3 linked regions of the Kluyveromyces lactis genome follow. The protein of the gene in region 1 interacts with the protein of each later gene in a biochemical or structural test. Links are inferred from orthologs where the notes say so. Each region holds a gene or a part of one and is shown in the gene's direction. Other genes may lie near its edges.

Region 1 (4,783 bases):
TAGTTATGATGTTCTCTGTCGTCAGTTCATCATATACAAACGGTACCTCGAAAACAGGGTCGTCTTTCAACAAACTAGCAAAATGCTTCAATGCATTAGCCTCTCTATGATAATCACATTCCCACTTTAATTCTTTACGAGCATTATCAATGGTTTTATCCAAAAACAATCCCTTTGGTAATAAACTGGAAGCAGTTAATAACATAAGAAGATTGTTTAGGTCGCTGTCAATAGAGTCTTTGACTCCTGGATATTGTATCTTCACGACACATTCCTCGCCGTTGTGCAAAACAGCATTATGAACTTGACCAATGCTTGCTGCAGCGATAGGAGTCCTGTCGAAACTCTTGAATTTCTTTTCCCAATCAGAACTCAATTCTCTAGCCAGTAGCCTGTCCAACTGTCTTGGAGGCATATAATTAGCACTGTTCTGAACTCTTGAAAGTATCGTGTATAATTGCGGAGGTAAAACCTTCTCATCCTGGAATGACATTAGTTGGCCCAACTTTAATGCTGCTCCTCTCATTTGAGAGAATTTATTTGCAATCCTTTCAACATTAGAATCTGATAACAGTAAATCTTTAAAACTTGATGATTGGCCACGACTCAGCTGAGTGATACTTTGAGATGCAGCAGAAATACCCACACTAGCAGCTAGGTGGCCGTAATGAAAAAGCCGAGAGATACGTGATGAAGGGACTTCTGAACTTTCCAGTTTATTAGCCTTTTGTTTGTTCACCAATTTATCCTCTGGAATAGCGTCAGCTGCTTTATTAGAACACCTGTGATAAGATGAAAAATGTCTCACATTTTTTTTGTTCTTGACTGAGCACTTGCTAAGGTGTGCTTTTTTAGAAGAGTGCCCTTTCGTAGATTTTCTGACGGATTCAGAAAGTTTACGGGCATGTTCCCAGTCCTTGTCGTAAAACCATTGAAATTTAGACAGTACCGGTCTTGTCAAAGTGGAAGTTTTTAGCCAAATATCAAGAGACTGTCTACCAATCGAGGCAGAATTTTTTACCACGTTGCAGAAGGACTCTGATAAACAGATAGCTTGATATAGCCCTTTTCTCGACATTGAATACAGCGATACTTCTCGATATCAATTAATTCAGCCGAAGAACTATCAGATATCACAAGATCAAAAATAAAGGGTGAAAGTATTTGATCTATCCAATGATACTACGAGTCAATGGTCAAATTCATGAATATACAGCGTAATAAGAATGGATTAAGACTCTGTCTTTACTTTATTACCTTTCCTTATTTCATGAGAGAGTCGAATCGTACAGATATCTTGCAGAATAATCCATCTTTTGAATTTCAAATAGATGCTTGTTTGCTTGCTTGCTCTTGCCATTCTAACCTTTGTTATCCGGGTAATGATGGAATTGCGATTTTGACATATGGACGTGTAGTTTTTTCTTTTTTAAAAATTTTAATGCAAATTGTAACATTAAGCTCATCTCATCTCATCTCATCTAGTGTAGTTCAATACTAGAGATAGTAGGTTAAGTGGTTATAAAATCCCCTGAATATTAGATACTACTGCTGAGTTTGGTTTACTCCGTTAGAGATTATTCGCATTACCAGTTGCAAAACATCAAACGTTGAGTAATTGACGATGGGCAAAAGAAGGTTTTCAAACGAGCATGTGTCTGCTGTTGAGACTTCTATTCCGGAGCATGCAGCTGAAATCGCAGAAAAATTAACCAAAGATCACCCTCCACCAGCAGCAGAGCCTTTAATTCATCATGATTCTGGTGAGTTCAGCGGGATGCAACGCCATCACACTACTGCGGCCGATGCCGAAAGATTGGAAAATGGATCAGTTAATCCATTCACTGGTGGCTCACTATCAGAGAAATATTTCGGTATTCTAAAGGTAAGAAGAGACTTGCCAGTGCACGCTCAAAGAGATGAATTCTTGAAGATCTATCAAGAAAACCAGATCATGGTTTTTGTTGGTGAAACGGGTTCCGGTAAGACCACTCAAATTCCTCAATTTGTGCTGTTCGATGAAATGCCACATTTACAAAATACTCAAGTTGCTTGTACGCAGCCTCGTAGGGTTGCTGCCATGTCTGTGGCACAGAGAGTTGCTGAAGAAATGGACGTCAAACTAGGCGAAGAAGTTGGTTATTCCATTAGATTCGAAAATAAGACCTCTAATAAAACTATCTTGAAATATATGACTGATGGTATGTTGTTAAGAGAAGCCATGGAAGACCATGACTTGAAACGTTACTCTTGTATCATTTTAGATGAAGCACACGAACGTACTTTGGCAACAGATATCTTGATGGGTCTTTTGAAACAGGTTATTGATCGTAGACCTGATTTGAAGATTATTATCATGTCTGCTACTTTAGATGCTGAGAAATTCCAAAGATACTTTAATAAGGCGCCACTTTTAGCTGTCCCTGGTAGGACACATCCAGTGGAGATCTACTATACACCAGAATTCCAAAGAGATTATTTGGATAGTGCTATAAGAACTGTTTTACAGATCCATGCTACGGAGGAGAAGGGTGACATTTTGTTATTCTTAACCGGTGAAGATGAGATTGAAGATGCTGTAAGGAAAATATCATTAGAAGGGGATCAGTTAATTAGAGAGCAAGGTTGTGGTCCTATCTCTGTATATCCATTATACGGTTCTTTGCCTCCACATCAACAACAGCGCATTTTTGAACCTGCTCCTGAATCCCATAATGGAAGACCTGGTAGAAAAGTCATTGTATCTACTAATATTGCAGAAACCTCTTTGACTATTGACGGTATTGTGTATGTTGTTGATCCTGGTTTCTCTAAGCAAAAAGTTTACAACCCAAGAATTAGAGTTGAATCCCTTTTGGTCTCTCCAATTTCAAAGGCATCAGCTCAACAAAGAGCTGGTAGAGCTGGTCGTACCAGACCTGGTAAGTGTTTCAGACTATATACTGAAGAAGCTTTCAAAAAGGAACTTATCGAGCAATCATATCCTGAAATTCTCCGTAGTAATCTTTCTTCGACAGTCTTAGAACTAAAGAAACTAGGCATTGACGATTTGGTGCATTTCGATTTCATGGACCCTCCTGCCCCAGAAACTATGATGAGAGCCTTAGAAGAATTAAACTTTTTGGCATGTTTAGATGACGATGGTAATTTAACACCTTTGGGTAGATTGGCTTCTCAATTCCCTCTTGATCCAATGCTTGCGGTAATGTTGATTGGATCCCCCGAATTTTCTTGTTCCGAAGAGATGCTAACGATTGTCGCCATGTTATCCGTACCTAGTGTTTTCATTCGTCCTTCGAAAGATAAGAAAAGATCAGATGACGCAAAGAACATATTTGCACATCCTGATGGCGACCACCTAACATTATTGAATGTCTACCATGCATTCAAGTCAGACGAAGCTTATGAGTACGGGATCAACAAGTGGTGCCGCGACAACTTTTTAAATTATAGATCTCTATCTGCTGCTGACAACATCCGCAACCAATTGGAAAGGTTGATGGTTCGTTACAATCTCGAGTTGAACACTACAGATTATGACTCCCCTAGATATTTCGATAACATTAGAAAAGCGTTAGCTGCAGGCTTCTTTATGCAGGTCGCAAAAAAACGATCTGGCGGAAAAGGTTATATCACAGTCAAAGATAACCAAGATGTTTTGATACATCCTTCAACTGTTTTGGGCCATGATGCCGAATGGGTTGTATACAATGAATTCGTTCTAACCTCCAAAAACTACATTAGAACTGTAACATCAGTTAGACCTGAATGGTTAATAGAATTAGCACCAGCTTATTATGACCTCGATCACTTCCAAAAAGGTGACATTAAACTATCGTTAGAAAGGGTAAAGCAAAAGCTCGATAAAATGGTGGAGCTACAACAAGAAAAAAAAAAAAGTGCGAAATCTAAAAAGTCTAAGAAATAACCAAGCATATAGATGTGTAACTTATATAATAAGATTAACCTTAGAATCAGCATGATAAGTCTTATTGTAGAAGTATTGTGCGGTATTATTAGCACGCGACTCAAAGTCTACGTTTTTTTTGCTGCATTTTATTGAAATTCGGTATGGTGTACGTTTTATATTCAACCCATAAGAACTTCGCTTATGATATTTCAGTGTAAAAAATATAAAATCAAATCTCTAGGAGTGGTTTCATTGCAATGGCGCATATAGTATCTGTGTTGCATATTTTCTTTTGTATCTAACGATGCTAGCAACACATAAAGTATTATGTTTAATAGAAGACGTTGCTAAATGATTAAGAACGACGTGGTTAGGAATTGGCAACGCACCTGAATTATTTTCACTACCTGGTTCAGCATTTTTGTTGTAATTATTGAGAATAACATTCTCCAACTGAGGTGGAAGTTGTGGAGGAGTTAACCATGACATATTTTGTTGATTGTTCTGTTGCTGGTCTAATGTGAGATAATACTGTTCCATCACCGAAGGATCTGTAAAGACAGCAGGGATATCCTGAGTATACTCATAATCGGTCTTTAGCTGTTGTTCCTCTTTGAAACGGGTGTATCCGTTTCCCATATCATCAGGGTCTTCTTCAATATGCAAAGCAAGCTGGGATCTGGCACTTAATTTGCCATCTTTACTTTGAGATGGTTGCCTTCTAACCTGTGACTGGATGGTTTGATCGCGAATTTTCTGAGATTGAGAAACATTATCTGAGAGTTGTTGATTTTGCATATTTTGCTTTTGCTGTGTCTGTTGTTGGGCATCCAGTTCATAATTCATCATTTGCATCGACTCAGGTGGAACAAT
Region 2 (4,532 bases), on another chromosome or scaffold:
CATTCATTCTTACCTGAAATTAACATACCGAGTAACATTGACGGATCTGTTTCTGATATATGCAATTTGTTGAATTTGTGTCCGTGACAACTTCGGTAAAATTCAAGATCATCCATCATTAAAGAAGATTGCTGAGTGTTGTGTGGATCAAGGTAGAAAAGATTTTCATTTTGATATCCAAAAAAGTATAATGATGACGAGGGTTTACCGCCTGCGATCCCGACAGAATATGGTGATGAGAGAATCTTGAATATGTCTTTCCAGTATAAGCTGTTGATTTTGTCAACACCCAACCTGACAGCAAACAGCAGAAGTAAATTAGCATCCCTATCCTTATGAAAAATTCTTGTGACCTCATCTTCGTATATATCTGCCGACTGAGTTGAAATTATACAATTCTTAATTCCACAAAGGGGAAACCCTTCAATCAATGTTTTTATGCTTCTGGCTGTTGCGCTTGGCCCAAACCACTGCCCAGGTTTCATTCCAGATATTTTCTCTTCTGCTTTGACAAAGTTGTGTAACGACAAAGGATATTTGACATCGTCTTGAAACCAACGGATCAGATTTAACTCATTATCATCTATTCTTGAAGCATTTATTCTGAACTCCCTGGCAAGCTTGACTCTTTGAATGGCATTCGCTAAAAGAGCCTGCCCAGTGCGTATCATACAACCCCAACCAATATCTGAATAAAAACTGTCAGGATCAGTTAAAGCATTTTCTAATGTGTTGATAGGATTATCTCTAAAAAAAAGGGTAAAATTGATAGGAGATGGTCCATTCTCATTTCTGCGGATAGGGGTAAACTGTGTGCGGTATGTGAAGAACACTCGTGAATGTACGTCAGACAAAAGTCCAGGATTTAATGAGACGATATTTATCAGGCTTTCCAAGGCCGAGTCATCTGTTTCCACATCCGTTCTTGATTTATTGTTAAGGGGAGCGTATTCTTTGCCCAATATGAACACGGTGCCATCTCGATCAACATCTTCCACTATACCTAAATGTTGTGATATCCTTGACAAGAACTCCATATTTGCATAGGGATGGCTGGGTTTGAAGATTGAGCGATACGTTTTCCTATACTTTCATGCACTTTGTACTCACTTGCTTTTTACGATGCTGATCATAATTTGCAGAAACTTATATTTCTAATATTAATGAACAATAATCTATATGAAAAATGCATTTAAAACCATGTAGAAAATAATACTTCATAACAAGAACGTAACTCTAAGGTAAGCCTGGTACACCCCTTGTTGCAGCTGCTAGGAATTTGAAGCAGTAGGTCATCGTGATAATGGCAAAGAGGCATAAACATTATAATGCCAGAGGTGGTGGGAAGTCAAAAAGCAAGAAATCCAAGCCACATGGTGAATCAAGGCAAAGAAAGAATCATAGGGGAGGTACCAGTATCAACAGGAATAGATCCGAGTTGTTACTAGGAGGTGGTGACCTGATGAATCCACATCAAGTTGAAGATTATTACTTTGGATCCACTGCAAAAAAGAGTTCATTAAGATCTGGTGGATTTAGGCCTGGAAGATTGACGGAAGCTGATGAACTCGATACTGGCAGGTTGCCATCAAGAAAACGTCCCGTGGAGTTTATCAAAGCAAAAGAACTCTATGATCCTTCTCATGACCTAATATTAAAATTGGTGAAAAAGAATCAACATTTTGACGAGCCAAACTCTGACGGTTACAACTCCTCGCAAAGCGTATCCCTGAGGGAGGAAGAGCAAGATGGTGAAGATGAACAACAAGACGTTGATACTCAGGAAATTCCAAGTAAAAACACAACTGTCAAGATACGATCTGATAATGTGGTTTCTGAAAATGGAGATTCGGAATCAAACAGTTCAGCGAACGACGCTGAATTGTTCTATGTAGATATGGAAGGAGAAGAAAAGACTGCTGATAATTATATTAAAACTGTAGATGTTGATGTACAGGAACGGTCATTAAAGCTTAATGACTGTACCGAATTTCAACCGACATTGAGGGTAGGCAATGTGGAACTTAATCTCAAAGACGGGGGGTCTGGCTCTATTGAAGTTGATAAACCAAAGAGTTCATACCATCCATTTCACAGCTATATTCAAAATGTGATGGAGAATGTACAAAATTATGACTCGGATGATGACTTTGATGAGAATGGAAATGACGTTGAACAGAGTTTTAGTATAAGTTCAGATTATGAATTTGAATCCTCGGAGGAACTAATAACAACAGGTGGTACGATCGAACAGTTTGATAGTTCAATGAAGTCGTTAACAATTGAAGAAATTCCCGGGAAAACAATCACTGCATCACTTACAACAAAAGATATATCACAAGGAAATTCTGATAATAGCTCTGGCGATGAATCATTTGGATTCTGTGAGGATGATTTTGAAGGTTCGATAGGAAAAGTGTTTGTTTCCAATATTCGAATCGGAGCTGGGACTCATTCTTATCATGTCTCATGTCATGAAATATACGGAGATAGTGAGCCTAGATGGGTAGATGATGAAATGATGAATGAAATAATTGCCGAAATGGGCTTACCTGAACACCGATTTAGAGCTTATTACAAACATCTACACAAGTCATTCATTGAAGAAGAGGAAGAGCCAGAGGAATATGCTGATATCCCCTTTGATGATGATGACAGTGATGATTCTACTGCGGATCAATGCGAACCTTTCGCCGAAGATGATCTCGGTGAAGATCTTGATGATCTCGTGTCTTACGCTCTAAAATACAATAAGCAGCGAAAAATTGAATACCATACTACTTCATTGGATATTAGGGGGAAAGGAAGAAACAAGCATTTAATATTCGATCAAACAGCAGGAATGGACGAAGACATCAAGCTCATGCTTCAAAATAAGTTTGCCACAAGACAAATAAACAAAACCAAAAAAAGAAGAGCAAAAGAAGATTTCTTGTCTCAGTCACATGCAAGCTCTACAGATCTTTTAATGAAATATCCTTACGGTCTACACATTCAAAATATAAAAGACGAATTTGATGCGTTTTACCGTAACGATCGTCAATCCATTACATTCCCACCTTTGGATCCCCACGGTAACAAAATCATCGGCAAATTTGCATACAATTATTTTATGAAGGCTTCCAATATTGGTAAAGGAAAATCGACCAAGGTTTACGTTGAGAAAACCAAAAAGACAAGGTTCAATAAACCAGCATATCACATTATCAGCCAATTACTCAGAAAACGACCTGTATTTATGAGAATAGATCAAAAAGCTCCGACTGACACACAATCCACGTTCAACCGTACTGTTCGCTTGAAAGTTTCTAAAGAAAACTTCAATATTAGTGAAGGGCAAATTGTGGGTGAAGATGCACCAGAAATTGGGATTGACAATATTGGAAGAAGAATGCTTGAAAAGCTAGGATGGAATATCGGACAAGGGCTCGGTGCCCACGGTAATCAAGGAATTAACGAACCAATCTTGGCCAAGGTGAAGAAGAACAAATCAGGTTTACGCCATACCTCTGAAAATCAACAATGACGGTAAAATACTGCATTGTCTTGTTCGACAACGCTGTTGAAAGACTGTGTTTCTTGATAAGTGTATAACTACATATACATATAGAGTATAATTGAATGCCCTTGGCCAGTATGGTCTATTTTTTTAACAATATCTAGAAAAGCGTGCACGTATGCCGTATCTTCAAAAGTTATGTTCGGTGAAAACCCTGGGAGCGTTTTGTCCGATCCCAAAAACTAATTTTTAGATTGATGTCGTTTTATTATATTAACCACAAACACGATTTTTAACAATGCCATGATAAAAGTACCAAAAAAATAAAACGTAAACAAACATAGATGAGCAGCAATCGATATTAATAAAAGATTGCTTGAAAACTAGAGCAGTTCGTCGAATATTAAGCACAGCCACATACTGAGACATTGAGTCCGCAATGCTTTCTCCAACAGGAAAAAGAAGAGGATCTTTCATTGGAAACCAAACAGACGCCAAACAAGAAGAAAAGTTTGATTATACAGATAGTGAATTTGATTTAACGGTCGATAAGCAATCTTCTCAATCTCCGCTCAAATTTCATGATTTTATGGACAGACTAGTCGGAAAGAACAAGTTACTTGCTCAAGCGGAACAGTACGATAAAGCGAGAGGTGTAATCATCCCAAAAAATGATAGCTCGTTTGAGAATGAGAACAATGTGCAGGATTCAAAGAGCGAAGGAAGAGTGCAGGTTGATTCACCAATATTGAAGGAACAAGATCTGAATAAAGCATCAGAATCTAACCTGAGTGAGCGGAGGATAACATCGGTCGAATATCCCAAATTGAATAAGCAAATGCAATTTCATGATTCTGCAGCACAAGTGTCTGCGATGCCGTATATGCCAAATCCTAAAGGCACAACCATTGAAGAACACCTGCTGGTTCAATCAACTCCACTATCAAAAATTAAACAGCATAACGTTAATGGAAAAAACTCTTCTACGTCTCAACCTAAGGATCTGCTGAAAGAAAAATTCCAAGATTCTCGA
Region 3 (3,314 bases), on another chromosome or scaffold:
ACCTCTTTGGTATCGGCTGTAGGACAGGACAACGATATCGTTTTACAATTATGGCAAATTGCATCTAATAAGCTAATTTCTGGAATTATTTCTGAACCGATGCCAGAAGTTACTAAGTCGTATCACTATGCTCTTGTTGATTGTTTGGGAATTGTCGGAAACAACGGATTAAATCAAGAGCAATTGTCACAATTTACACAAGGTGTGAACAATAACTTAACCGACGTCTACGAAAGAACAAAATCCCGTTACGATCAGGATGACGAATACAACGAAGATGTTGATGACGATCTTGATGAGTATACCGATGAAGATTTGCTTGACGAGATTAACAAATCTTTAGCTGCTGTTTTCAAATCAGCAGGTGTTTCTTATCTACAGCAGTTCCAGACTTTATGGCCAATAATACATTCATACTTGCAGGAGACTGAGGTATTCATTTTATTGTTCGCCTTGATTGCAATTGCTGATATGATAGAATACACTGGCGATAACTCTGCACCTTTCAAACAGCATTTCGTTCAGAAAATTAAGGAGTGCCTCACATTCCCTGAACCCTCCATTCGCCAGGGTACTGCATACCTACTCGGAGTATGTGCACAATATGCCCCCAACACCTACTCTGACATATGTTTGGGATCGTTGGAAACTTTATTCCAAATCGTCAACATGCCAGAATCCAGATCTGAAGATAACGTTAATTCCTCGGAAAATGCATCTTGCGCCATTGCAAAGATCTTGAGCAGTTACGGCTCCAGCATTCCAAACTTTGAACAGTATACTGCCAACTGGTTGAAGACTTTCCCCGTTATCCACGATGAAGAATGTGCCGCGTTCAATTATAGAATGTTGGCACAATTGATAGACCACAATTCGCCTGTGATTCAAGGTAACACAGCCGAAATCGTTGATTATGTGATACAAGCCTTACATCAAAAGTCTATCGGTGGAAAAAATGCTACTGCTGTGGTAGAATCTGCAAAAAAACTACTAAGTACTATCCCACAGGAACAAGCATCTGCTCTACTTCAACGATACCCACCGGAAATCATGCAAACCATACACAAATGGTTCGCTTGAATTATGATTCGTGGGTTTAATTTCCCAAGGCCAATTATCAGATATATGTACATGTTTAGCCCTCTATACTGATTTTTATGAATTAGCATATGAGTCTTCTTATACTGCATAGACATTTCTACTTATTGAACGGAATAGATTCAAGCTTGTATCAGTTTTGCTATACTATGCAACCCGCCTGGCACCAACAATTTCCATTATCATTATTCTTAATAGAGAACTCTTTTTTTCTTTTTCTTGAAATCCTGTGAAGAAAAAAATACTGAAAAGAATTGTTAAAGCGATGAGATGAGATGAGATGAAATGAGACTGAAAGTATTTGATAGCAAAAAGATTCATTGTGAACTGTCCCCATTTGGCAGAGCACACTTTTCATTATCATAATATAAATACATTATTCAGTAATTTCAAGATGGGTTTGGCAGCAGCAAGGAATAAACAAAGGTTTGGATTGGATCCAAGAAACACAACTTGGAGTAACAATACATCAAGATTTGGACACAAACATCTAGAGAAACTAGGATGGAAACCTGGTTCCGGTTTGGGATTAGTTCCAGATTCTACAACATCACATATCAAGGTTTCTATCAAAGATGACAATCTTGGGTTGGGAGCGAAACTCAAAAAGAAAGAGAAGCAAGATGAATTTGATAGTGGTGAATGTACGGGATTGGACGTCTTCCAAAGATTACTTGGAAGATTAAATGGTAATGAGCAGACAATTTCAGATGAATTGGATAAGCAAAGAACCGACAATATTATAAACGGGAAATGGGGGATACACTTTGTGAAGGGAGAAGTCCTTGCAAGTACATGGGATGCTGAAAATAAGCAACTCATAAGTTATAGTATGGGTAAGAAGAGACCGGTAGAGGGATCGTCTGATAGTGAGGTTAGCGATCGGAAGAAGACAAAGAAGGTAAAAAAAGAGAAGAAGGTTAAGAAGGTCAAAAAGGAGAAGAAAGAGAAGAAAGAGAAGAAGGACAAGAAGGAGAAGAAGGTTAAGAAAGAGAAGAAGGAAAAGAAAGAGAAGAAACTCAAGGATAAACATTCAAAAGATACCAACGAAATTACTCGAGACCAAATGCTGAAACCTAGAGATTCAGCTGCTGTTGTTCCAGATGCCGTATCTACTAGGCTCTCGGTCCGCGCGAAATGGATCAGACAAAAGCGGGCTGCAGTGATGGATGCTAAAGCTCTGAACGAAATATTTATGGTAACAGACTGATAGATAACATACGTATACTTTTATTTAAGATATCAAACTAATATTACACTGCATTCGACAGCAATGAAAAAGATGGTGCACACCATAAGCGCAGCAAAGGAGGTCCCTGATTTTCTCACTTCCAAGTTTGAAGCAGAAGAAGATGATTTCGATGATGATGAGGAAGAGGAAGAACTTGAGCTAGATCCACTGCTACTGCTGGTTCCAGAACTGGAACCTCCGGAGGCATTTGCAGTTGCTGATGATAGGACAGCATTACAGCTTGAGGCAGTGCTTGAAGCTGACACAAGTGTAGCTGAACCGCTGAACGAACAAGCAGATTCGTTTTTATCATTTTCTTCGTAATACTTGTTCAAAAGGTAGGAAAGTTTAGTTTTTGAGTCACAGAAAGAGTATGCCCCATATTTACCAGTTGTTGCATTGTTTGTGATATCTGAACAATCTATGTCCGCACATACAATACCAAACAAATCAGCATAATCTTTAGTAGCAACATCGTCGGCTACTATACATGAAAGACCTTGTTCAAGACATTCACAAGTTGAATTGTCTGGAGTTGGGGGTAAATCTGTCGAGGCTTTCCAGTATATACCGGTGGAAGGACATTCTAAACTGGTGGTAGTGGCCTTATCTTTAGTAGCGGATGTTGGCGAGATACTGGCAAGGGCGGATTTTAGATTGTTGTAATCAGTTAGGGTTTTTACCTTATCGTCATCAATAGAAACCAATCCATATTCGTTGTCCTCCTCAAAGTACATGTAAACAATCCCACCTGACCAAACATCAGTCATATCATCACCATATAAAGAAGCAACATCCTGAAATTGTCTAGGTTTCACCTCGTTACAACCATATTCTGAGAAGAAAATTGGAACTGAAAGGTTGGAAAACTCTTTCGTTCTATCAGCATAACCAGATTCTTGGAATGTAGATTTACCACACCATTCATACATGTTGATACCATAGAAATCAACCTTCACATCTTCATCACCGCATGCAAAGTAGT

Evidence for each region. The genes of interacting proteins can lie anywhere in the genome.
Region 2: the proteins of PRP43 (region 1) and SQS1 form a complex in vitro, tested with the Saccharomyces cerevisiae proteins (2 studies listed by BioGRID, with this or other methods). The link is inferred for Kluyveromyces lactis from reciprocal best matches to the Saccharomyces cerevisiae genes PRP43 and SQS1.
Region 3: the proteins of PRP43 (region 1) and PXR1 are reported together in a solved structure, tested with the Saccharomyces cerevisiae proteins (2 studies listed by BioGRID, with this or other methods). The link is inferred for Kluyveromyces lactis from reciprocal best matches to the Saccharomyces cerevisiae genes PRP43 and PXR1.

What each region holds. Positions count from the first base shown.
Region 1 is NC_006038.1:40,660-45,442, forward strand, and holds PRP43 (DEAH-box ATP-dependent RNA helicase PRP43), read left to right. Parts: upstream 1-1,624; coding exon 1,625-3,928; downstream 3,929-4,783. Other genes in the region: protein kinase COQ8, read right to left, coding at 1-1,078; KLLA0_B00583g (protein kinase subunit beta), read right to left, coding at 4,160-4,783. UniProt on the Saccharomyces cerevisiae protein: Pre-mRNA processing factor involved in disassembly of spliceosomes after the release of mature mRNA.
Region 2 is NC_006040.1:1,646,646-1,651,177, forward strand, and holds SQS1 (Sqs1p), read left to right. Parts: upstream 1-1,303; coding exon 1,304-3,526; downstream 3,527-4,532. Other genes in the region: cysteine protease ATG4, read right to left, coding at 1-1,037; CNM67 (Cnm67p), read left to right, coding at 3,939-4,532.
Region 3 is NC_006039.1:1,220,896-1,224,209, reverse strand, and holds PXR1 (telomerase inhibitor), read left to right. Parts: upstream 1-1,492; coding exon 1,493-2,308; downstream 2,309-3,314. Other genes in the region: importin PSE1, read left to right, coding at 1-1,080; KLLA0_C14113g (uncharacterized protein), read right to left, coding at 2,341-3,314. UniProt on the Saccharomyces cerevisiae protein: Involved in rRNA-processing at A0, A1 and A2 sites through its action in U18 and U24 snoRNA 3'-end final trimming. Negative regulator of telomerase through competition for binding to EST2 with TLC1.